3 linked regions of the Drosophila melanogaster genome follow. The protein of the gene in region 2 interacts with the protein of the main gene of each other region in a pairwise test. Each region holds a gene or a part of one and is shown on either strand. Other genes may lie near its edges.

Region 1 (8,005 bases), on a different chromosome or scaffold from region 2:
CGGTCGATGAGGCATGCTGAGGTCCTGATTGCTGTCCCGACTGCTGGGGTTGGTGAACCGCTCGTTGCTGAGTCTGGATCACCGCCTGCGTTAGCTGAGGGAGGAGCAGCTGGGCAGGCTGAGCTGCTGCCTGCTGGACCTGAGCCTGTGGCTGTGCCTGGACCTGGGCCTGAGCCTGGGCCTGAGCCAGAGCCTGGGCCTGAGTCTGAGCCTGAGTCTGGGCCTGGGCCTGAGCCTGTGCCTGGACCTGAGCCTGTGCCTGGGCCTGAGCCTGGGCCTGGGATTGAGTTTGTTGATTCACCTGACCCTGGTTAGGTGCATTAGCTTGTGAGCTCGGTATGATTCGGGCTGTCACCAGCTGTCCGTCCATCTTCATCAAGAACGGAGCACCACCATAGCGCTCCATCATCATATCGTCGAGCTCGCCGAAATCCTCATCCTCCAGCTCCAGATCCGCCTCAAAGCCACCGCAATCGTCGTAGTTGATGCGGCGCGTAAATTCTACAAAGCTGTGCAGTCTCGTCGACAAAAACTCGCGATCCCTGGACTTCGCCGACGTAGTAGGACCATTATCAAAATCCAACAAGGCCCGGTACTGTGTGCTGCACTCATAGGCCATTAGAGTGTCGTACGGGGAACGGGCAAAGTTGATCAGTTCGTGGATGAAAAGGTCCGTATTGGCGCCAAAAAAGTGGATCATGGGCTTTCGGAACTCCTCGCTGTCCAGCTTAAGACGTGGAAGCAGATTCTTGATGGTCTCGTACAGATAGAAAATATCCGCCTTCCTGGTCCTGATCAGCACCGATACATCGCGGTTCACCCACATCATTACCCTATGAACCTCGAAGGGATTGAGACTACAAGGAAATGCAGAAATGAGAACATGGCTGAAATTTCCCTTATTTGTATTGGAGGAGGAAATTTTCACTCACCGGAAATATTCGGGGGACCAGCCGCGAAAGTCGCCCGTTTCACGATCCGGCAGAGAATATAGCGAATTGGCGTAGACATATATGCGCCATTGGACCATGTGCCGTGGCATCATTGTTGCTGCACTCCACGTGTCGACAATGTCGAAATTGTTCGAAGAAAAAACAGAAACAGAAACTTTACACGTGAACGAAAATTCCTGGAATTGTCAATCACAAATTCGATTTAATACTGATTTCACTGCTCACTGTCGCTCGCGAAATGGAACTTTTCCAGCTGTGCAATATGATACAGTATTTACCTTATAGGAATTAAACAATTAGCTCGTTCTTTAAACAATTCCAATTGAAACTCAGCGAAAAAGTTTTGCTTATTGCGCAGGCACAACGGCTCTGTGGCACGTTTTTATTTGGGGCGCATCTACACGATGCCTAATGTCAAGTGTGGAAAGTAAGGGACTGTTTAGACAATGCCATAAATTAACCTGCAAATCGTGACAAATCGGGACATCGGAAATCGAATATACTCTGAAATCACTGGAAACATTGAATTGAAACAAAATATGCATAAATTTAACAAAAAAAAAAATGCGCAAGGTGCCTATGCCGGGGGGCATCCTTGATCCAATGAGAATTACTTTTAGAACTTTACGAAATATGAAATGACACTTATTTATCTTTAATTTAATCTTTACATTTATTATGTATTTGATTCGTATTACAGATATCTTTTGTTCATTGTATGTTGAGTACACTAAAATTCATAACTGGCCACGCCCACTTATGCAAAAAACATTAACACCCTCCTCATACATTGATCAGCGCTAATTCTACGATTTAAAAGCTACGATAGTAAAGTTAGTTGCCATTGTTTATAGTTAGTTAGTTATAGATGCCGCTAACCTACGTGAATACATTTACAATCGATGTTCTTCAGGGGGATATTGAATGCGTCTTTTGATGTGGAAGGGGGGGGGTGGTATATGTATGTATGACAGAACATTTAAATAATGTTGGGATGGGTGTTTATATATGTATGTACAACTTAAAATGGCAATCTTAGGCCTACAATACATGAGTTACAATTACAAATATTATTTTATGGGGTTTGGGGATTTCAGGAATCGGAACAAGACAAGACGGAAACCAGTTAAACATTCCCTTACACTAGCAACTTAAATGAAAATCTAAATCAGTGGCTTATGCTTAATACGGCAGTAGTCCCTGATTCTCATCGTTTTCATCGTGGTTGTCGCTATCATCGTCGTCCTCCTCCTCTTCCTCTTCTTCCTCCGCAGCTTTTTCCTCTTCCTGGTCGTCTTCCTCTTGATCTTCATCCTCTTCGTCCTCCTCATCTTGTTCTTCGGTGGCAGTGGCTGTATCCTCGGCGATTTGCAACTCTGATTCGCCAACTACATCGATTGCGGCCTCCAGCGAATAGGCATCCCGTTCACGGCTGGCCTCCGGATCCGCATCTGTATCGAAATAGTTCTCTAGATTGGCGTCATCCGCCGCCAAAGTTTGTGGGCTGTCGCACAACGTGTTGCTCAGCATGCCCATGGAATTCTCTGCCGAATTATAATGCTCGTTGAAGAGTCCGATGTTCACAGGCTGCGTTAGAGTGGACAGTTCGATTAGGGAGTTGGCTATGTCGTGCTCTTCCATCGCCGGATGTCCGCGCATCAGCGGATCGCCGGAAAAGCCCGCTGCTCCCCAGGCAAACGAACTTAATGGAGCCGAGCTCGAGGTGGCTGTCGAACTGCTGGCCAAACTGGCACTCTGGCTGGACTGATTGCTGTGGCTGCAACTGCGTCGCCGTTTCGGTGCACTGCAACCCGGTTCGTTATCCTCTCTCGGCGATGGAGTCATCCGTGAGTGGAGGGGCCCCGCCTGGTCGTCATCCGGCAACTGAAGCTCCAGTTTTACAGGTTTCCTATCCTCCAGAGTTGCCTCCGCTTTTAGTGTGGCGCGCAAGGCACTGAGCTGCATGTTTACAGCGCTATCATCATCGGAATCGCTGCTGGATTTGTTGTTGTTCGTGTTGGGTTGACCTAGAAAACAAATTTGTGTAATTATACAAGTTTGATCTGATAGGATAATAAATAGTTTTTTGATTGTTTTTAGAGATCATTCTAGTGTTTTCCTGTTCAGAATGTGTGGTGTTATACATACATTCATACATGCTGATAAGAACCGTCTAGATTCACAAACCACTTACCGGATGACTCGCTGCTATCGCCACCTGACTCGTCATCGGACGAACTTGGACTGTCACTGCTGCTTTCCGGTTGGCGCTGGGGCTTCTTTTGGCTTATCTGCTGCTGCTCAAGCATTTCCATATTCTGGTCTTTGGCCTTCCGTTTACGAGATGTCCTTTTCCCGATTGACTCCTTTTTAGAGCGCTTATTATTCGCCACTCGCTTGCGTGACTTTTTCTTGGGTGGCTCGGAGTTGGTGGTACTACTGTCACTGCTATCCTCATCGCTGCTGCTGCTGAAGTGAAAGGAGGAGCTGCTGCAGCTGCTGGGGCTGCTGCCACTGTCACTGCGGGCAGGCATGGATGAACGGCGTGATTTCTTCGAACGTATAGAGCGCAGCGTGCGCAACTGATCGAGGCGCCGTGTCTGCGCCATGACCAGCTTCCAGTTCTTGCCTCTGTTGGCCGCTGCGCCACTTGTGCTGGGCCCCATAAACAGGCCCTGATCCCTGGAGGCCAGATCCAAAGGGGATTGTGTCGACCGGTTTTCGGCAATTGCGTCCGGCGCAGCTTCGTGCTGCTCATTTACGAACACCACATCGGAGTCACTATTTGAGTCAAGGCTCACCTGTTCGGGAGTGCGCATGTGTGGTGGCTTCAGCTCCAGCACAAAGACGCACTCATCCTCATCGCCGGAACTGCTGCTGCTCTCCAGTTCGATGTGCGCCGTCACTGGAAGAGTAGCACCTGCGTGTCTCCTACTGGTGTTGCTGCCATCATTGATGGCCGCCACCTCTGCATTTGCGGCCGCATCGCCGTCGTCGATCTCGATGACCTCTGGTTCCTCGCTGGCAACCGCCGCTGGGCGCCTCATGCTCAGGTTAATGGCAACCGTTTGTGAGCCCACATTGGTTGTACGGCGTATGGAAATCCCCGGCAGCTCACTGCCATCACTGGCCATTGTCACGCTGAAGGAATGTGTGGCACCAGGATTGGTCACAATCACACTGGTCGACGGGCGTACCCTAGGGGGGCTCCAATCCGGAGAGAAGCCAGCGTTTATAGCATCCGCATCGCTATCTCCGACCTCCAAATTCAGATCATCACCGTTCGAGGATTGTGTCTCCACCATGTCCAACAGATCCACCTCCACCTCCTCAGCCACTCGTGCCGAATACTGCACCACATGATCGTAACCGTTTATGTCATACGGGGAGCGGGCAAAGTTAAACAGTTCGTGGATAAAGTGACTGGTGCGCTCGCCGAGATACGGCGACAGCCGTCGACGGAATGTAGGACCTAGTAAGCTAGTCATGGGCAGGAGGTCGCTCATCAGAGTCATCACAGTATTTACGCTATGTGCGGCATTCCTCAGTAGGCACATGATGTCGCGATGGATCCAAGGCATCAGGCGATGAATCTGAGCAGGATTGTTTCTATAAGCAAGGATTTGAAATCGAAATCAGTATGGTTAAGTATGCGGTTTTAGGTATACGAACAGACCTGTAAAAACGGGCGCTCCACTCTCGAAAGTGTCCAGTCACGCTGTCGCTGACGGGCAGAGCATACAGCTTTCTATCGTACACATAACGTCGCCAGAGCTGGCTCAATGAACCCGACGTGGATGCATCCTGATCGTGCTGGTAGTAATTCATCAGCTCCGAGCGATACGGCTCAAAGCGGCTGTACGATCGCCTGCCAGCTGCTACTTCTGCCGCCGAAAGCACATCTTCACCAGCAGCTCCTGCCGCTATGGCCGCCTCGATGTCGTTGACAATGACGGCCTGGTTCTGCACCAGCGGCGTGTACCTGGGACGCCTCACAATGTGGTAACGTAGGGAGGGATTTTCTGTTGGAACCGGCGACGTAGTCTGCACCGGGTAGCGATCGTAGTCGTCCAGGGTGCGGACATTGTGTATGATGGTTCTGAAGGGCTGCTTACACAGTGGACACTCGGGCTTTATCTGCAATCGAGAATAATTAGATGGTTAAAATAATGGTTTACTCGCCTGCGGACTGGTTACCTTGCTCCACTCGCACAGGCACTTGAAGCAGAACTGGTGCATGCACGAGTCCGTGAAGCACTTCCTCCTGCAGCGGGACAAGCAGATGGCGCAATTGGGCGGCGGCGAGTTGCGCTCTACTGTTCCGTTCTCCTCCGCGGCGGATGCACTGGTGCCCGGCTCACCGATGGCGTTGGCATTATCCGGGCCAGCGGATACAGGTTCCTCGGCCTCGTTGTCTCCCGACTCACTGCCGCTCTCGGTGAGATCAGCAAACTTAATGGCCGCAGCCGGTAGCGTCCGGCCTCCGGCATTGGATCCTTCCAAACCAGGCTCCACAATCACCGATGCGCCCAACTCATCCACTCCCAAATAGGGCACGTTGGCGGCAAGAGCTCCGGGATTCTCCTCCGCCATTCTGGCGACTATATAGCGGCTATATGGGCTGTAAAATCGGCCGTAAGATGGGCGAGAACTCGGGCCTGAAGTTTTGTGTCTACTCTGTCCTCCTCTCTCTCTCACTCTGCTCCTCTCGCCCTCTCTCGCTCGCACTCGCTGGCTGGCACGCTACTCTATCATCTGGTTCGCAATTCGGTTCTCAATCCTCGTTTTCCAGCGGCCTTTTCCGGGCTAGGGGACGCATTATCCGTATTCTCTTGCGGTCTATGTGGTGGTCAGTGGCCTGTTCTGTAAAATAGCACAATTTTCGGGCCAGAAATCGCACTATATCTCAGTTAATTTTACACCTGAAAATGCAGGAAACTTGATTTTTTTGACCACTACGGTGATACCGTTCGTCGCGTACAGTTAAATGCTGCAGACCACGGAGATTGATATACTTTTGAATTACTTCAGAATACAAATTTTAAATAAAAAAGGTTTGGAAAATATGTTGAGTCAGCGGTTCTACTAGCTGTTCTACCCTCTGATTGAACTTGATTGAAAAAGCAGGACTAGCTTTGTTACAAAAATTACGAAATACACAAAAAATGCTTAAAGAACTAGACCAATTTATTTTATAAATTGAAATGTGATATTTTGAGAAAAATAAATATTTTTAGATGTATTACACAATCTTGTGAGATTGTGGCGCGGGTAAATTACAAATTCCAAGAAACTTCTTTTCGAACCTAGGAGAACCAAACAATTATTTTGATATTTTCTAAAATAGTTTGGTATTTCGGTTTTGGTATTTAATTTCGGAGCCTTAATTGTTTGTGTTATCGATAGCTCGTTGCTTTATTGCCTTTTTGTGGCGTCTGTTTCAATTTGTTTGTTTTCAATTGTTGGTCATAATTTGGATCCCCAAAATGAATCGACGCAACAAGCGGACGTCGTACTACCAATACGAAGTATACCTAGACTTCATGGAGGAGAATCCCCCGATGTCGGCCAACAAACTGAGTCGCACCCAGGACGGCAAGAAGTGGAAGGAGCTCAGCGATCTGCTAAACAAGTGCTCCACGGGTCCCACTTTGTCGCCCGAGGAATGGCGAAAGGTATGTTGTAACCAGTTGGGTATCGAGTGTACAAGCCCACAGTGTGTCATGCTTATAGCGCCTCAACGACTGGAAGAACAGCACGCGCTCCAAATACCGACGCAGCATCAACTCGGATGACAAGAGCAATGCAATGACTCCTCTGGAGAACAGAGCCCTGCAGATCTTCTCCTTAGAACCGAATTTTCGCGAGGGAATTTCGATGCGCCTGCACGAACTGATGGAGGAGCAAGAGGAACTGGATGAAGAAGAGAATGAGAACCTGGAGGAGTTGGTGGATGAGGAGGAGGAGGAGGAGGTGCAGTACCAGCAGTTCATAGCAGAGCCTCACGAGCAAGCCAACCCAACGATCATCAATGGTCACAGTGCCGCGAAAAAGCTAAGGCTCGATGGTTCCAGTGAGATTATCTACGAAGGTGGGTAGACGCAAATCTAATGTAAATACTAAATATCCTATAAAGGGACATAGCCTTGATTTCAGTCGCGGATGTCACATCTGATCAATCTGCCGCGAAAGAACCGTCTGCCTTCTATGGAGAGAAAATCCAGGAGCAGCTGAAACGCATTTCGGACATACACGAGGCATCGCTGCACTTTAAGATAGCCCGCTTCAAGTACAATAATCCCGGATTCGAGTACGTTCCGGAATTATAGCCCATGCTAGCCATGCACATTGATATAATGTATAATGTAATATAATATGTGAGCTCAGAGGGACCTGCTGATTTCGCCTCGAATTAAAAGCCGCGGAACGCTCAATAAGTAGTACAGTAGGCATTCGTTGAAAACAAATTCTTGAGTAGTGTGTACCATATACCAATTAGTCGTTTTTAAGACTGTTGTTATGCATATCGTTCGACGAAATACTTTTTGCACATATATTTTGAAATGTATTATTGATTTATATGAAACCGCTAATAAATATTGTGACAAATCATTTCTGAATCCGCATGTTTTTATTGCAACAAAATTGAATTATTTATTGCACATCTAGCCATAACTATCGCATGGCATCTAATTGCTTTTTTGGCTTCCCGCCAGATGCGCACCACTGGCGTGCCGAATGCAACCCTGCGCCAACAGCAACAAAATGCAACTAGAAAATCCCAAACGCTAAATGCGTAAATTGTTTGTGAACATCTCGCATCGCTTGGTGGCGTCGATTTGCATTTTAGGGCTTTTGCCAGCTATTTAAACACGGCATCGAGCACGCAGGCACAGAGCAAGGATACCCGGATGAACGGCAAGATGGACCGCCGCAAGAAACGCACCTCATCGGAGCAGTACCAAATGTACATCGACATGATGGAGAGCGACCCCATTTTCGCCACCGGACGAGTGCCGCGCGACTATGACCTGAACTACTTGACCAAAAAG
Region 2 (8,664 bases):
ACCAATGAGCTCCTCCAGGCGATGGCCAGTGTTGCGGAAAAGAACTTGGAGTGGGACAGCATTGTGGATCAGGTGGTGATTTCCCACAGCAAAACACCACTGACGCTTACCAAGCCACCGAAGGAAACTAAAAATTCAAGCAAAAATCCCTCACCCGCCGGCAAGGATGAGGATGCAAAGCGACGCAAGGAGAAACGTATATCGCCTCAAGAGCAGAAGCTGCGCAAGGTCAAAGAACAGGTGTCCCGTTCTACTCCCCCCACCGAGAAGGATAAAGCATCCCAGAAGAAGTCCAAGGCACCCAAGGATGAGACGAAGTTAAGTCGACAAAACTCGAAGCAAAAGAGTCCGTCACCAGTTAAGCAGAAGTCCAAAGCCAAACTGCAGCCTTCAACAGAGAGCGATAATCTTAGCCAGTCTATGTCGCCAGTGGAAGAAGGATCAACCAAGCCTGCTGCAAGCGAAAGTGCTCCAAGCAAACCAGAGCCGGAAATGGTAAGAAAAATAAGTTAATTTGCTTTAAAATTAGAAATCCATAAGTTATGCGTATACCCAAACAGGTTCCTCCATTAAAAGAGAAGGAGGCAGTGGTGAGACCTGTCCAGGAAACTCCAACTGCTCCACCAGCTGAGCCTGAGAGTCGCAAATCCTCTAGCAGAAGTCGCCGTTCTAGTGGCAGCCACAGGCAACCGGAACCTAATCCCATTCCCAATGAGAGCCAATCCCAGCCAGCGGTGCAGTCGTCAGAAACCAGCTCTCCACCGGAGACCAACAGCGGCGAAGCGAAGCGGGAGGTTCCCCTCACCAGAGAGAACTCTAAGGAAGTGAATCAACGGCCCAGAACCTCACTTAGACCTCCATCCGCTCGACCCGCCTCCGCACGTCCCGGAGCTCCACGACGTCGCAATGTGGAGATCGTGCTCCAGCCAAACGATCAGATCAAAATGTCGGGCATAAATGTAAAGCTTGAAACCTTTGGCGACTTGGACGACGACGGAGAGAACCTGGTGATCATAGAAGATTCCGCCGCCCATGATATTGTCGAAGGTGGCGGTGACGAACCGGCATTGGAAGGACAGCTCGATGCCCAGGGACGATTGGTGCAGCAGATCTTGGAAACGCAAAAGGAACTGGTCAATCAAGGCGCCGAAGTGGAACCGCCTCCAGCACAGGCAGGCCGACAAACTTCTGCGCGCCAGGTGAACGACGTACGCGACGTAGTCCAAAAGCTCACCAAGTCGATAGGTCCGCTGGGTAAACTACTGGACTGCATACCCGAGGATTTTGATGCAATGCAGCTGGAGCTTACGATGTGGCGCGACACCTACACGCAGGCATCCACGGAACTAAAAAGGGAGCAGACTCTCACGGCATCTGCCACGGAGCCCCTGCAGCATCAGTTGCAGCAAATCCAAGCCAGCATTGCGGAGTACCGGGAGCTAATCGACGAGAGTCGCCACAAGATCTTGCAAAACAACGCACGTATTCTGAAGTTGATGATGGAACAGTAAGCATTGAGGATTAATAAGCATTGTTAAAAATTCAAGAGAGTTTTATCGAAAATATTGAATTTGTATATTTTATAATTAATAAGAGTACTATAAAAATAGCCATGCATATATTGCTTGGTAACATCATTCAATTCAAAAATATATAAAATCTATATAATAATATCAAAATATCTTTGATATGTAATATGTTGGTTTGTTTGTTTTTGGGTAATTTGTCAATGCGCAAGATGTCTGAATATTCAAGCAACAGACGGTAAGTTTCTCTTTTAAGGTCACTTGGTGTTTGTACCAAAACCAACGATCTTAAAAATACAAATGTTGTAAAAATCATCAACGATCAATTCCTAGAATATGGTTTTTGTGCGGTAATTGTACGCATGCATCAAGGGCTGGAAAATCAAGCTTTCTCTTGTTCGCCTACAGGTTTTTTCTTATTTTCCCGGACCACCTCCTCTGAGTTATCCTTATCCACAGCTTTCCCCACGATCTCCTTCTTTTCAGATTTCGCCGAAACTTCCTTCTTTTCCGGTTTCTCTCTGATTTCATTTGTTTTAGTTTCGCCTGTGACCGACACCGCTTCTTCATCACCTGAATGTGACTCATTGTCTTTGTCCAATCCACCTTCGTCCTGATCCTCATCTCCCAGTACATATTCGATCACATCGTCGATGGGGAAATTATTGAGCAGCGACTTGATGGAATCGTTGTGAATGACCACGGTAAAGAGCAGTTTGCAGTACTCTCGCATGCGGCTACCGTAGTCAAGCTCAGCGTAGTTTTCGCCACCTTTGGTTAGGTCGTGGCCACAGTTCTCGATCACTTTGCAGAGCACCGTCTCCTCGGGGGCATTGGGCCAGCCGTATTTCTTTAGGATCGGTGGATCCACTAGCATATCAATAAGTTTACCCACATTCTCTTTGAGCTTTATGTCCTCCTCAGTTAGAATTTCGCCACTGAAGTCATCCTCGCTACATGATTCTTCCAAATTATCTGCGATGGCAGCGGCCAGACTGGCGGCCAGGGATTTACGCTGCTCTTTCTTTACCACCGGCGAGACCTGCGCCTCCTCCTTCTTCGCCTCGGGCTTAACGCCAGCCTCATCCGTCAGCTGCTCTCCCTCGATGGCCCCGTCCAGGGGCAGAATTGTGTATGTTTCGTTTTCTAGTGTAATGGTCTGGGCCGCGCCATCGCCTTCGTCCACGAGGAATTCACGCACCACAACGCCATTCCCGTCCGTTTGGCTAGAAATTAACGAGCCCGCCGATGTGTTTAACGCCACTGGTACAACCTCCTCCGATTCGATGTCCTTCTTTGCCCGCTTTGATGGATGCGGCTCAACGCCAAAAATGTCATCCGGATCGCATTCGTGAACGGTGCGTATGTGCCGTCGCAGGGTATCGCTGCTGTCAAAGTTCTTATCGCAAATGGCGCAATCCGTGCGTTCCATAATTTTGACGGCCGATCGCATTGATGACCGTTGTTGTTTCGCTACAAAGGGTAGGAGCGGGATTAAAGCCTTGATTATTGCCAATTGTCGATTCCAACTTACGGCTGTGTTTTCCCTCGTCCATATGCTCCTTGAGCAATGCTGGAGTGCGGAAATTACGCTTGCACTCGGCGCAGGAAAAGACGGGGCGTTTTGTGCGAGAATGGGTCTTCACATGGCGCTCAAGTCTGCGAAACAAAATTGCAATAAGTAAGTAGGGCTAACAGAAAAGATAAAAGGTTTTTTAATATCTTACTGTTTCTCTGTTTTGAATTTTTCGTCGCATTGCTCACAGGGAAAGGGGCGAATATGGGTTTTGGAATGGGTGCGCAGCTGGGTGGCCTGGATAAAACTCTTGCCACATTCATCACACTTGTGCGGACGCTCTCCAGTGTGCCGTTTCATGTGACGATTGAGCACTTCCTTTACGGCAAATGCTTGGTTGCACTAAAAGGTAATAGAATACCGCATTGTTACAATAGGTTAAATGAAAAGTTACGGAAGTTTTAAGACTAACCACAGTGCAACTGTATGGTTTCTCGCCAGTGTGATAGCGTCGATGCTTTTTAAGGGCCACCAATGCAGAAAACTTCTTGTCGCAAAGATCGCAGTCAAATGGTTTCTCCCCCGTATGAGTGCGTATGTGAATGCTGCGAAAATATACCGAACATTACTTTATGTCTTTTAAAATCAATTAGAAAACCTACTTCAGCGTGGACAGGCTGTAGAAACAATTCTTGCACGTGTGGCACATGTACTCCGGCTTTTTAACCACCTGTGTACCCAAATGCTGCTTCAAATGCGATCGCAGGTTGTCCAGCCGATAGAAGACACGATCGCACACCTTGCAGCTCATGGTATCGGTCTCGTTCGATGAGCACGATGAGTACTTCTGGTGGCGCTTCAAGTGGTACGAGCGGGTGAAGTCCTTGCCGCAGATCTTGCATGCATACGGCTTGCCACGTGACTTGTGCTGTTCCTCGTGGAGCGCCAACAAGGCCTCGCTGCGCAAGTTGGCATTGCAAATGGAGCAAGGAAAATCGCTGAACTCGGAGTGAGTGATGAAAATGTGGCGTTCGTAACTGGTCTGTGTCTTAAACGACTTGGGGCAGTCGGGACAGTTAATGTGACCCAGCTGAAAGGAAAATGTGGTATGCGAAAGTTATGCTTACTTCTCTTGGTATCAATCTTTATGACTTACATGGAAGGTGTCGTAACTTTCGCTGCAGCAGAAGCATATGTCCTTCTTCTCCATCACCACGGCATCCTTCTCGATCTTCTCCAGGTTCTTAAGCATGTCGGCTTTGCGCAAATGATACCCACTGTCATAGCGACAGAACTCTAGATGCTTTTTCAGACTCTGAACGCGACGGAAGGTCTTGTAGCATTTGCCACACACATGCTCCACGATCTCCTTGATCTTTGTCTGGCTAGAGTTGCCCTTGCCTGAGGAGTCTTCACCGTCCTCATCACCATCCTCCCCTAGATCCTCATCGTCCTCGGTGACAACGATCTCCTGGCCGTTGTTATTTTCTATTCTGCCCGGAACTACTTCCTCATCATCCGCTAGAATGAAATCAATGGTGTCATCTTCTTCGGTGACCACGGTAACCGTGGTGTCCGCCTTGGTATTTTCTGATTTCACAGCCTGAAGTACATAGTGCTCCATTTTCTTTCTTTTACTGGGAGACGTCTTGATCTTGGTAGTTTCCACGGCTGTCACGGTAGCACTGGGTGTCTTTTTCTCGTTCAGAATCTTCACAGTGGAAGCAGCCGGAGCTGTGCTCTTTGTGGCGCCCCGTTTCTCAGTTTTCGGAGTGCCCAGTATTTCTTCATTGAGTATTTTGATGCGCGATCCAGCGACACTGCCACGCTTCTCCTGCTTGTTGGAGGGAGTTCTTGATGTGGTAGTAGTAGTGCTTGCCTCCGAATCCTCACCAGCTCCCACGTCATTCAAGAGCTTCATCCTGGTGGCGGGACGTTTGTCCTTAGGCGGCGAAATGTTTTCCACACCCAGCAGCTTGCCCTTCTTTTCCTTGCCCTCCTTGGAGGCACTCATGTTGGTGATACCAGCCTGCAATTAAGATCGATTGGATGATAATTCAGGATCAGGATAACCAGTGACCGCTTTAGTCTACTTTTAGGCACGTGATTTACTGAACATCACATTTTGCCAGCGTCACCAACACACGCCCAAAAGCTGCTAAGAAAAAATGGCGTCGCGCTGTTCGATCTTTACGATCGATCGGCCTTGGTGTGAGCGAGACAACACTACCTGCGCCTGACGCACAGAAAACGCAACAAGTTTTCTTCTGAAATAAAATTGTATTTCAAAGGGGTAGCAAATAATTCTAATACACTCGCAAATCCGTAGCATACTTTTCAAATATTTAATGTGATTTTGTGCCGGCGAAGGACGTGGAGGATCGGTTTTAACCACTTATTTTGCTGATTAGAAGTGCACTTTTCTGCTCCGCAGCGAAAGAAAGTGACTGCCATCGCCGATAAAGAGCGTGAAATTATCAAGTCACTGGCTAAGGTATTTGCTTCACAAACATGTCCTCATATCACGGGATGCGTTCCTTAAAGGGTTTTGACCGCATTTCCGATAATAAATCACAATTTACCTAATTTTATGCTTTAAATTCCAACACGACAAGCGTTTGTGTATGAAAATTCAGTGTGACCGTTGCATGTAGGTTGGAAAATACCATTAATTACAACAACCCGTGAAAAAATAATCTGAACATGCCGCCATGAAAAGTACAAAGAAATTTCCTCTGTTTTGAATCTTCTGGGTTGTAAATTTGTAATAATTCCAACATAAATTTAAAATAAATAGCCGGTGTCTGGCTTAATATTATATTAACTTTTTATTGGTTAACTTTGTAAGCATAGATTAATGATCCGAACAATAAAGCTTATATGGAACATTTCACTATTTATATATAATTTCAGTCGAAGGCCACCGCAGCCGTTGCTCGGTAAGATAATTATCAGGTTTAACATTTTATACAAAAAGTAATTGAATAAAATACAAATAAATGCATTCTTTAATATGCATTTTGATAAAATAAAAAACAAAATATATAAGCATATAATTAAAATAGCAGTGCTCACAAGGGTTAAAGGCTAGTATGTTAATGAGGTATACCTATCCCATGATCTCGGTATATTTAAGCCGCCTTGCCACGGTCACACTTTCGCCAATTGCAACGATAAAAAGGTAAATAAAAGCCGCATTAACTCACAAATTGCAATTAACTAGCAATAATTGTAAGCCAATAGCCATGACGACTGCCTTTGATGCCGCACACACTGAGGGGCCGGGATTCGTGGGCATTCGGTTCTGCCAGGAGTGCAACAACATGCTGTACCCCAAGGAGGACAAGGAGAACAAGATCCTGCTGTACGCCTGCCGGAATTGCGATTACAAACAGGAGGCGGACTCCAACTGCATCTACGTGAACAAGATTATGCACGAGATCGACGAGCTGACCCACATTGTGCCCGACGTGATTTCCGATCCCACGCTGCCGCGCACCGAAGACCACGCTTGTCCCAAGTGCTCCCATCGGGAGGCGGTCTTCTTCCAGGCGCAAACTCGTCGCGCCGAAGAGGAGATGCGACTGTACTACGTGTGCACCAACCAGAACTGCACCCACCGTTGGACGGAGTAGAAACTGACGACCCATCTGCCTCTAATTGTAGCCCTAAGTAATCGAAGGCACTTTGCAATCGTACAATTGGAATTCCCCCATGGCTATGCCGCAAAAACATCCCACGTGCAGCTCCATTCTCGGTTGTCGCCTAATGTAATAACATTCGCACTGAAAAAAAATGCATGTGATCCGCATGACTTTGAATCACTTGCAAGAACTTCGATTTGGTTTGTATAAATGTTTAAATAGCTCAGTCTTAAAAATAAATATATAAGTTCATTGCGAGAAAACTGCTGTATCATCTTACTATATGTTTTGGCAAAACTACTTAATTTCAATGATCAAATGTTCAAGTGCAGTTGAGAAAACAACGAAAGTGTTCCGGGTTTATGATAAAATTTAGCAGGTTAAGCTGCATATTTAGGCAACATAAACTGCAAAACCAGATTTCATAGTTATAAACTTAATCAAGTCAGCCCGCTTGTATTCAAATGTCTTCATTATTTATTTATAAATGAATGTGTACTATGACTGACAATCTATGAATGTAAAACTGAGCGAGCAACGAATCTCCCCGAGGCATGTGCGAATTCCACAGTTCACGGCCCGGTGACAATTCTTCATATTTATCATTGTTCTGCTCTAATCGAAGCTGACAACAAACAAAATAAATAAAAAAAATAAGAACCGAAAGCGACGAAGAAATGATTGAACAAGTTTCTTGTGCGTATCAAACGACTGCCCATTTGAGTATTTGAGTAGTAGACCTGGCTTGGCTTGGCCCGATCCCCGGAATCGTCGCTTAGTTTAGTCTGAGCTTAGAACCTGGCGCGACGTGTTGATCAAATCGCTTAAAATGTGCTGCTAGAGCAACCTGCCGAGCCAGAGACGTATCGAATCGAATAGAATCGTATAAAAAATAAGAGTTTTGAGGAATTCAGCAAGTGCTATAAAAAAATGGCAAAGCCAAGGTCATCGGCAGATGCGGCTGGAAATGGCAGTGGAGCAGTGGATGCAGAGCCCAAGCTCAACTATTTCCAGAAACTGTGGCGCTATCGCCACTATCTGGTCATCGAGCCCTTCTTCTTTTTCTACTTCATGGCCTCCGTGTTCAATGCGGTGGCCATGCAGAATTTCCCACTGGACAAGGCGTGTCGCGTGAATCTCGGCTACAACAAGATCGTCTGCGACACAATGCTGGACAAATCGGAGCTGGGCATCGAGTGCGATGACTTTGATTTCGAGAACACCACACAGGGCGCGACGCCGGATCTCGCTGACCTTGTCATCGGAGCCACTGGCTTCAACTACACGGTGTGCAAGGCGGAACTGGAGGCACAGATCCTGGCGGCAGATGTCTCCGGGAAACGAGCTCCCATGGGTAAGCCAGGCGACAAACATACACATATATCATACACATAACACGAGTCGTTCATTAAGTATACGCCGTTTTGATTTCGGTTATGGGTTTGGCATTAGCATTGCTTATATTTCAGGTTTGTGCTTAAATTAAATTCGAATTCTTTTCACATCTCGACTCCTCTGCATTTTAAATTTCCCCTGCCCCTCGAATGGGTTAGGTACACTCGAAAAATAATAGTATTATCAAGTGATAATGGGACTAGAAAGACATTGAGATACTTTACTCAAGCATAAGATTGTAAATATCTTAGAGAACTTTCTTTAAATTGAAATGGAATAGCTATATATACACATTTTCTTTGAGTGCACATTTTTTTCTGAAGGAATCCGTGTCTTTTGATGGATGTCGTCGGAAATTAGCGGTTATCCGAACATCTAATTACCTTCTTTAATCGATTCGCTCATAAGTTTCTCCTTCGCCTTCTGTCTTCTGATGGTGCTAACAAAAATTCCCCCATTCTATCGCTATTGCCGGGTGATTAATTTGGAGCCGCTTCCAAAGACCTCAGCCTAGTGGATACCTAGTAATCGTAATCGCAATCGCTCCAAACCTGTTCCTTACATCGTTGTGCGCTGAGTGACT
Region 3 (5,812 bases), 7.1 Mb from region 2:
ACTTACCAAAATGCGGCGGGATGGCATTTTACAACTTACGGTAGCATTTGCATCGCTTGGTTTTCAAATAAGCACTATCACAGATTATCAAAAGGGTGGAAATAGGGAGGCGTTGCCCCCCTTACCAGCCCCATCACTTTAAATATTAAATAAACACCACACCAAACACACCGTCACAAGCTGGAAATAATTAATTGTGAACAAATAGGCCGTGTAATTCGGATGCAATAAAATAACAAAACAAATTGGCTTGCATTTTTTTAATGAATTTGCACGGCGTTGCCACACAGCCGAAGCACCAGGGCTGCACATTCAATTAGGGTTTCCGGAAGTGGCAACACCGTCCTCAATTTCCACAAAATGGCAACTCCGCATTAATTCAAATTTTAATTCTTTATTTTTTCATACTACAAATATATATATAATATATTCTGTGGATACTTTCTAAATATCCGGACCAGGCGCGCAAAATATAAATTACACGATTCAAACGTTAATATAAATTTTCTCAAATACGCTTAACAATAAAAAAACGAAAATTACTACTACAAATAAAGGAAATATAAGTCGGAAATGCTTCAAGGCGGTCCAACCTTTTGTTCCAAGGTATATAAACTATCGCCTATATGAATTAAAACGGTTTATGATTATCTCTTACCAATTAGGTAAGAGGTCTAGTATATTCTGTTTTTTTTGTTTAAGGTTACCGCGACATCCGTAAATATCGTGAAATTCTTCAGACACCCTTTAATTCGGAACCATATAAAAAAAACACGCAAAATGTTCCATACAAAAAATTTGGAATGAAAAAACAAAATCAGCACGCAAAAAGTAAAACAGAATCGACGCTGCATGAAGAAATAAATTTCCTCTCCACTGATAACGTTAAAAGAGTCTCCCTATACGTATTATTAAAATCTTTCCTTTTTTTTTTACGTGACCACTAAAACGATTAGAAATGAACCTTTACTATAACACAGCGTTATAAATACAATTTTTTTTTTAAGACTCGGCAATCAATGCCGTTGCTGGATTTGCATCAGCAAGCTTTTACGTTGCTTAAACAAATCCAGACAACATCTTTAAGTACGAGTTTGAAAACATAAATAACAACAAACCTCAGTAGCCTTAGCATCACCAGAGGATCATTATTAAACAGAAATGCGCATGCCCAAATAATAACCCCCTGATCATGTAAGATTGAAAACTCCAATTACTCGCTTTGCTCAGTCAAATAAACAATTACAAATGCCTGCAAATTTTGGAAAAATATATGGATAGGTGTGGTTTTAAGAGTGCCGGTATTACCTTGAGTAGTTGCAGCTCTTCACGGGTTCGGCTTCACGTTGACATCAGATATCCATCGTAGCAGCTTCTTAAAATTTCATCACTCTACTTACCTTTTAACTGAATAAGTGTAAAACCGCGCGATCTCCGTCCAGCATTTAACAAATATGCATCGGACAGCAGATCTGCCTAGTGCTCTTTGTCGATTCGAAATAGAACACAGGCCCGTAAACTACTTATTAACTAATGGCCAGCGAAGTATAGCTTAAGTTTGTTCAAAACAAAATTAAACGCACTTTGCCGAACTCTAAAAGGACATGATCCGCTTGCGACGCTAATAGATTTGGAAAGTGTTCAAGTTTGGAATACATATGTGATCTTTTTTTTAACGTGTTTGCATTTCGCAAGCGGACTTAATGTCCTTTAAATATTGCTTATATCTATTGGCCTCTGGCCATGTATGCTTTGCAATTCAACCAACCTTGAGCCTCTGTGTTGCCCTGATCCCCGCTGGTGTCGACAAACGATGATTCACTGTAGTTCTGGGACTGTTGCTTGACCACAGCCTTGGAAGTGGTCGCCGTCACTCCGCCACCGCTCGTATTTGCCGCAGTCTGGTTGCCAGCATCCTCGTTTTCAGTGAAGTAGCTGTCGTCGTAGCGCATGTCTCCGTAAGTATCGTCCTCCACATAGGTGCCCTCGGCATCGCCGGCGGCGTCGCCATGGTCCTCAGAGTAGTCAGGTTCAGATTTCGTGGGCAATTCCATGGGGAGATCAATGTACTCGGCTTCCTCCTGTCGAACCTGCTGCGGCGATTGCTGGTGGAGCTTTGCTTCTGCCGCAGAGACCACAGAGGTTTGCACGGTGATCTGTTGCGGCACAAGTTGGGCGGTTGTCGTGGCTCCAGTTTCAGTGGTCGAGTCGAGAGGGTCCATAACATTTGCGGAGGTGCTTGTCTTGGAGCGCTTTACGCCGGCGCTCGAGGAGGCGGGGGTCAGGGAGGAGCGCTGGGCAGAGCGTTTGTTTGTCGACACCAGCGTCGCCGTCGTCGTGGTTCCCGTCTGCAGCTGCTGCGATTGGATCTGCTGCGCCGCCTGCTGCGGTTGCTGCTGTTGTACAATGGTGGCTTGGGGTGCGGCCGTGGTCTGGATGACGATCTGGGTGGTGCTCTGTTTCTCGTCGCCCAGGCCGTCGTCCACGGTCTCGATCTTGTAGCGGGCGGAGGCGCGAGGCTGCTGGCGCTGCACCCGCTGAGCCGGTATTTGCTGTTGTTGTACATGAGGTGCTGCTGGCGGCGGGCTGGATTCCTGCGGCGGCTGAGGCGCAGGATCGTTCTGAAAAAAAAATATTGGTTTTTTAATTATTAACATATATTTTAGGAATAAGTGAAAAGATATTTTGTATGTTCTAGCACCTCTTTAAAAATGAACCACGATCAAAACTTAATAAACTTTAAAAGTATCTGCATTTAATAAAATGGACGATTTCAAAACTATATGTTGAAAAGAATTATTCCGTTAGAATGGAATTTGCAAAGAAATAAGAAATCTGGCCATTAATTAGTAAAGTACGCCTTCCTTGAATTGGGAAACAATAATACATTTTCTAGTTCCGATGCCTGTTTCTTTAGGTACAGCTGCACTAAATTTAATTTTGCAAATACGTTAATTTTAGTCGAAAACATTAAGAGATATTTCCCAATTTAAACATTAGTTTAAAAGCAAAAAATGTTTATGCTTTGGCATCGAATTCGCTGCGAGACAAAAACAACCACTCCAATTTGCCGCTGCCGTGCGAGCCAGAGCGAGACAAACGCTTCGCGTATAGCCCCTGCAGTTGTCTCTCTCTGGCACGCGTGCCTTTTGGCATTTGGTTTGCGAGAAATTTCTCGGTACAGTCAAACCATGCTCTTATACAGACGCCAGCCATCGCGTCTGTATGTATTGGGCGCGAAAGGTTGCGTTGTAGTTGCTCGATTCGATATACCAGTATATCACGCACACAAATGTATACATATACTCACATCCGTTAGCCCCTTGATTTGCAGCGATTCCGCGGTGCTAATAAACGCGGGCAGGGCGTCCTGCTTCACGTTGACCTCGCCGCAGTACATGAATTGGATGAGGTCCTTCAGCGCCGAGTGGCTGACGTTGTTCAGGAATACTGCAAGATAGGCGAAGAGAGTATAAGGTAAAAAATCACGTAGAGCTACAGATCTGAGCTGAGGGGCACAAACTCACCGATAGCGTGGGTGTTCGACGGCATCTGAGTGAACATCTTGCGGAAGAAGGGCGAGCAGACGGATAACACCAATCGGTGGGCCTTCACTATTTGGCCCTCGGCGGCCAGCGAGACGTCCACCAGGTCGCCGCGGCATAGCGACTCGTGGAAGCCGGCCGACAAATTCGTGTTGAAGTTGTTCCAGCACAAGCTGAATTGCTCGTCGTCCGCCATCTTGGACGAAAATCAATACTTTTCTGTATCTATGCGTTTGTTGGCTGCAGGCGAAAAAGTGCAATGCGCGTTTAAAACTCAATGCAGCGAGTGCTGAAAAATGGCAAAGGCACACACAAAATAGAATGCACTGCAGCCAAAAAAAACTGGGAAATTTTCACGCGTCTGTCTGTGTGTGCGTGTGTGTAAATTACATTTATCTCGCTTAATGACCGCAACCTACTGTGTATATTCACTTGGGGCGCCATTACTCACCTCTTGACTAAATATTTTTCCAATAAAATAACTAACTAAAGCCAGAGTTTTTTGCTAGCGCGGCCGACACGCAGAACGCGTCCGAGTTCTTTGACGTGAAAATTAGAAGTGTTACCAGGCGACGAGATTGCTGGCGATGGCAAAACAAAAAGTGACAATATATCGATAGCTTAAAATATTTATATCGAAATACTTTTATGAATATTGATAGTTGATGTGCTTTGATATTTTTTTTTTAAATGTTAGTACGAAAATCACATAATTAAGTTCATAACTTTTTGAAAACTTTTACATACTTTAGTTTACATATGCTGTAGGATTTTAGTTTGCGGGTGTGTTAAAAAAGGTTGTAGGACTAAGAAAATATCGGCCTAAGTATACGATGTATTTATGTTATGACGAAATTTCTTATTTCACAACAGTTTTGTTGTCTAGCTTAATGTTTAATTTATTTTAAATGAAATAAAACAAAATACAAATTAACGAGTTTAAAGACTAGCAGTCAAACTAGCACAACTAGAATAAAATTCATAAGATAAACAGAAAAATTTTAACTTTTTTAAATTCTCCTATTTTTTAAACTGGGCCTTCGATTTTTTACGAATGGAGGATTATTTTCTAGCGGAATTCATTATAACTCTGACAAACTCTTATGGAGCGCATCGTCACTACGTAAACCCTACACTCTGAATGCACAAGGGCACTATATTTTTAAAAAAAAAGTGACTTAATAGGATTATAAGAAAGGCAAATATTCGCTAAAAGTTCTTAAACATACCAAACAAAATATGTATGTACATAATATGTATATCTGTGTACTGTATGTACATATGCACTACATATGCAATTATATACATATGTGAACACGTTTTTGGTGCAATGCCAAGATTCGAAATGAAGGTATTCATCCCATAAAGGCGAAATATTATTAAAAATGTTGCTCTATTTAGACAACTTCACATATCCATGTTATTCATCTCTATTAAATCATAACAGTTTCAAGTGAAATAAACAATAATATATGAGAGCGTAACGTTTAAACCAAACATATTCCCCACGATTTATTTATTTGTTAGCTTAGTACACTCTTAAAATCAAGTGTGCGAAAATCTGCACTTGAGCGCCACTTGACAACCGTTTAATACACAAGACGCGCGGACAAACGTAAATACATGGGGACTATAAAACTTAAGGACTTTACGATAATAAATACGGATACTTAAGCTCAAGTAGCGAAACAAAATCAGCATAAAGTGGCTGCGAACAAACAACTAATAACAACGGGGAGCAGCTGGAGGAGTCGGTTATTGAATCTGATAGTCAGGTACAATGTGTGCGATTGTGCAAAGATACTTTCATACATGCATACAAGCATACATGTTTGGAATTAGTGATGGACAGAACTTAAAATATATTGTCAATACCATATATATTCTTAAGCTATTAGATTAAATTTACAAATGTAATACATAAATTAGTTTTTTATATTTGGATACATATTTTATAAATCTCCTAAGCATATGACAGCCTCGCACATCTCTAGCGCAGAAGAGCGAGATGCCGCACTCGCATTCCGATGCTGTGCTGTGATTGGCTCCGGGGCGGCCATTTTGCCCGTATGCTCAGTTCGCTCACACACATCCAAAAACACAGTGGCATGAGGCGGTCTGGGGTGAAAGGAGTACGCGTTCAGTACCAAAATCGAGCTGACAAATTGCAGACACGGTCGAGTGCGCATCGGAACGGCGCTTTACGGCTTACGGGTTACGGACTACTGATTGCCGATTACGGGCTACGACTCACTTACGGTTGCGCT

The links. The genes of interacting proteins can lie anywhere in the genome.
Region 1: the proteins of su(Hw) (region 2) and Topors interact in a two-hybrid assay, tested with the Drosophila melanogaster proteins (one study listed by BioGRID).
Region 3: the proteins of su(Hw) (region 2) and mod(mdg4) interact in a two-hybrid assay, tested with the Drosophila melanogaster proteins (8 studies listed by BioGRID).

The regions. Positions count from the first base shown.
Region 1 is NT_033778.4:18,970,868-18,978,872, reverse strand, and holds Topors (topoisomerase I-interacting protein), read right to left. Parts: upstream 6,262-8,005; 5' UTR 5,935-6,261; exon of another isoform or gene 5,876-5,934; 5' UTR 5,547-5,875; coding exon 5,151-5,546; intron 5,091-5,150; coding exon 4,630-5,090; intron 4,563-4,629; coding exon 3,148-4,562; intron 2,981-3,147; coding exon 2,136-2,980; 3' UTR 1,611-2,135; downstream 1-1,610. Other genes in the region: CG18605 (uncharacterized protein), read right to left, coding at 1-857, 933-1,045; CG15107 (uncharacterized protein), read left to right, coding at 6,440-6,628, 6,687-7,044, 7,098-7,282; prod (proliferation disrupter), read left to right, coding at 7,865-8,005. UniProt on the Drosophila melanogaster protein: Functions as a ubiquitin-protein E3 ligase. Negatively regulates the transcriptional repressor hairy/hry by promoting its ubiquitination and subsequent degradation. Also directs the nuclear organization of the gypsy chromatin insulator.
Region 2 is NT_033777.3:14,302,900-14,311,563, forward strand, and holds su(Hw) (suppressor of hairy wing), read right to left. Parts: upstream 5,691-8,664; 5' UTR 5,377-5,690; intron 5,310-5,376; exon of another isoform or gene 5,136-5,309; intron 5,072-5,135; 5' UTR 5,057-5,071; coding exon 4,199-5,056; intron 4,133-4,198; coding exon 3,705-4,132; intron 3,648-3,704; coding exon 3,515-3,647; intron 3,445-3,514; coding exon 3,254-3,444; intron 3,186-3,253; coding exon 3,061-3,185; intron 3,000-3,060; coding exon 1,909-2,999; 3' UTR 1,556-1,908; downstream 1-1,555. Other genes in the region: IFT54 (intraflagellar transport 54), read left to right, coding at 1-495, 561-1,511; Polr2I (RNA polymerase II subunit I), read left to right, coding at 6,288-6,677; CG31321 (uncharacterized protein), read left to right, coding at 7,617-8,040. UniProt on the Drosophila melanogaster protein: Component of the gypsy chromatin insulator complex which is required for the function of the gypsy chromatin insulator and other endogenous chromatin insulators.
Region 3 is NT_033777.3:21,373,292-21,379,103, forward strand, and holds the start of mod(mdg4) (modifier of mdg4), read right to left. Parts: upstream 4,111-5,812; 5' UTR 3,997-4,110; intron 3,786-3,996; 5' UTR 3,742-3,785; coding exon 3,528-3,741; intron 3,451-3,527; coding exon 3,311-3,450; intron 2,622-3,310; coding exon 1,769-2,621; intron 285-1,768; exon of another isoform or gene 1-284. UniProt on the Drosophila melanogaster protein: Component of the gypsy chromatin insulator complex which is required for the function of the gypsy chromatin insulator and other endogenous chromatin insulators.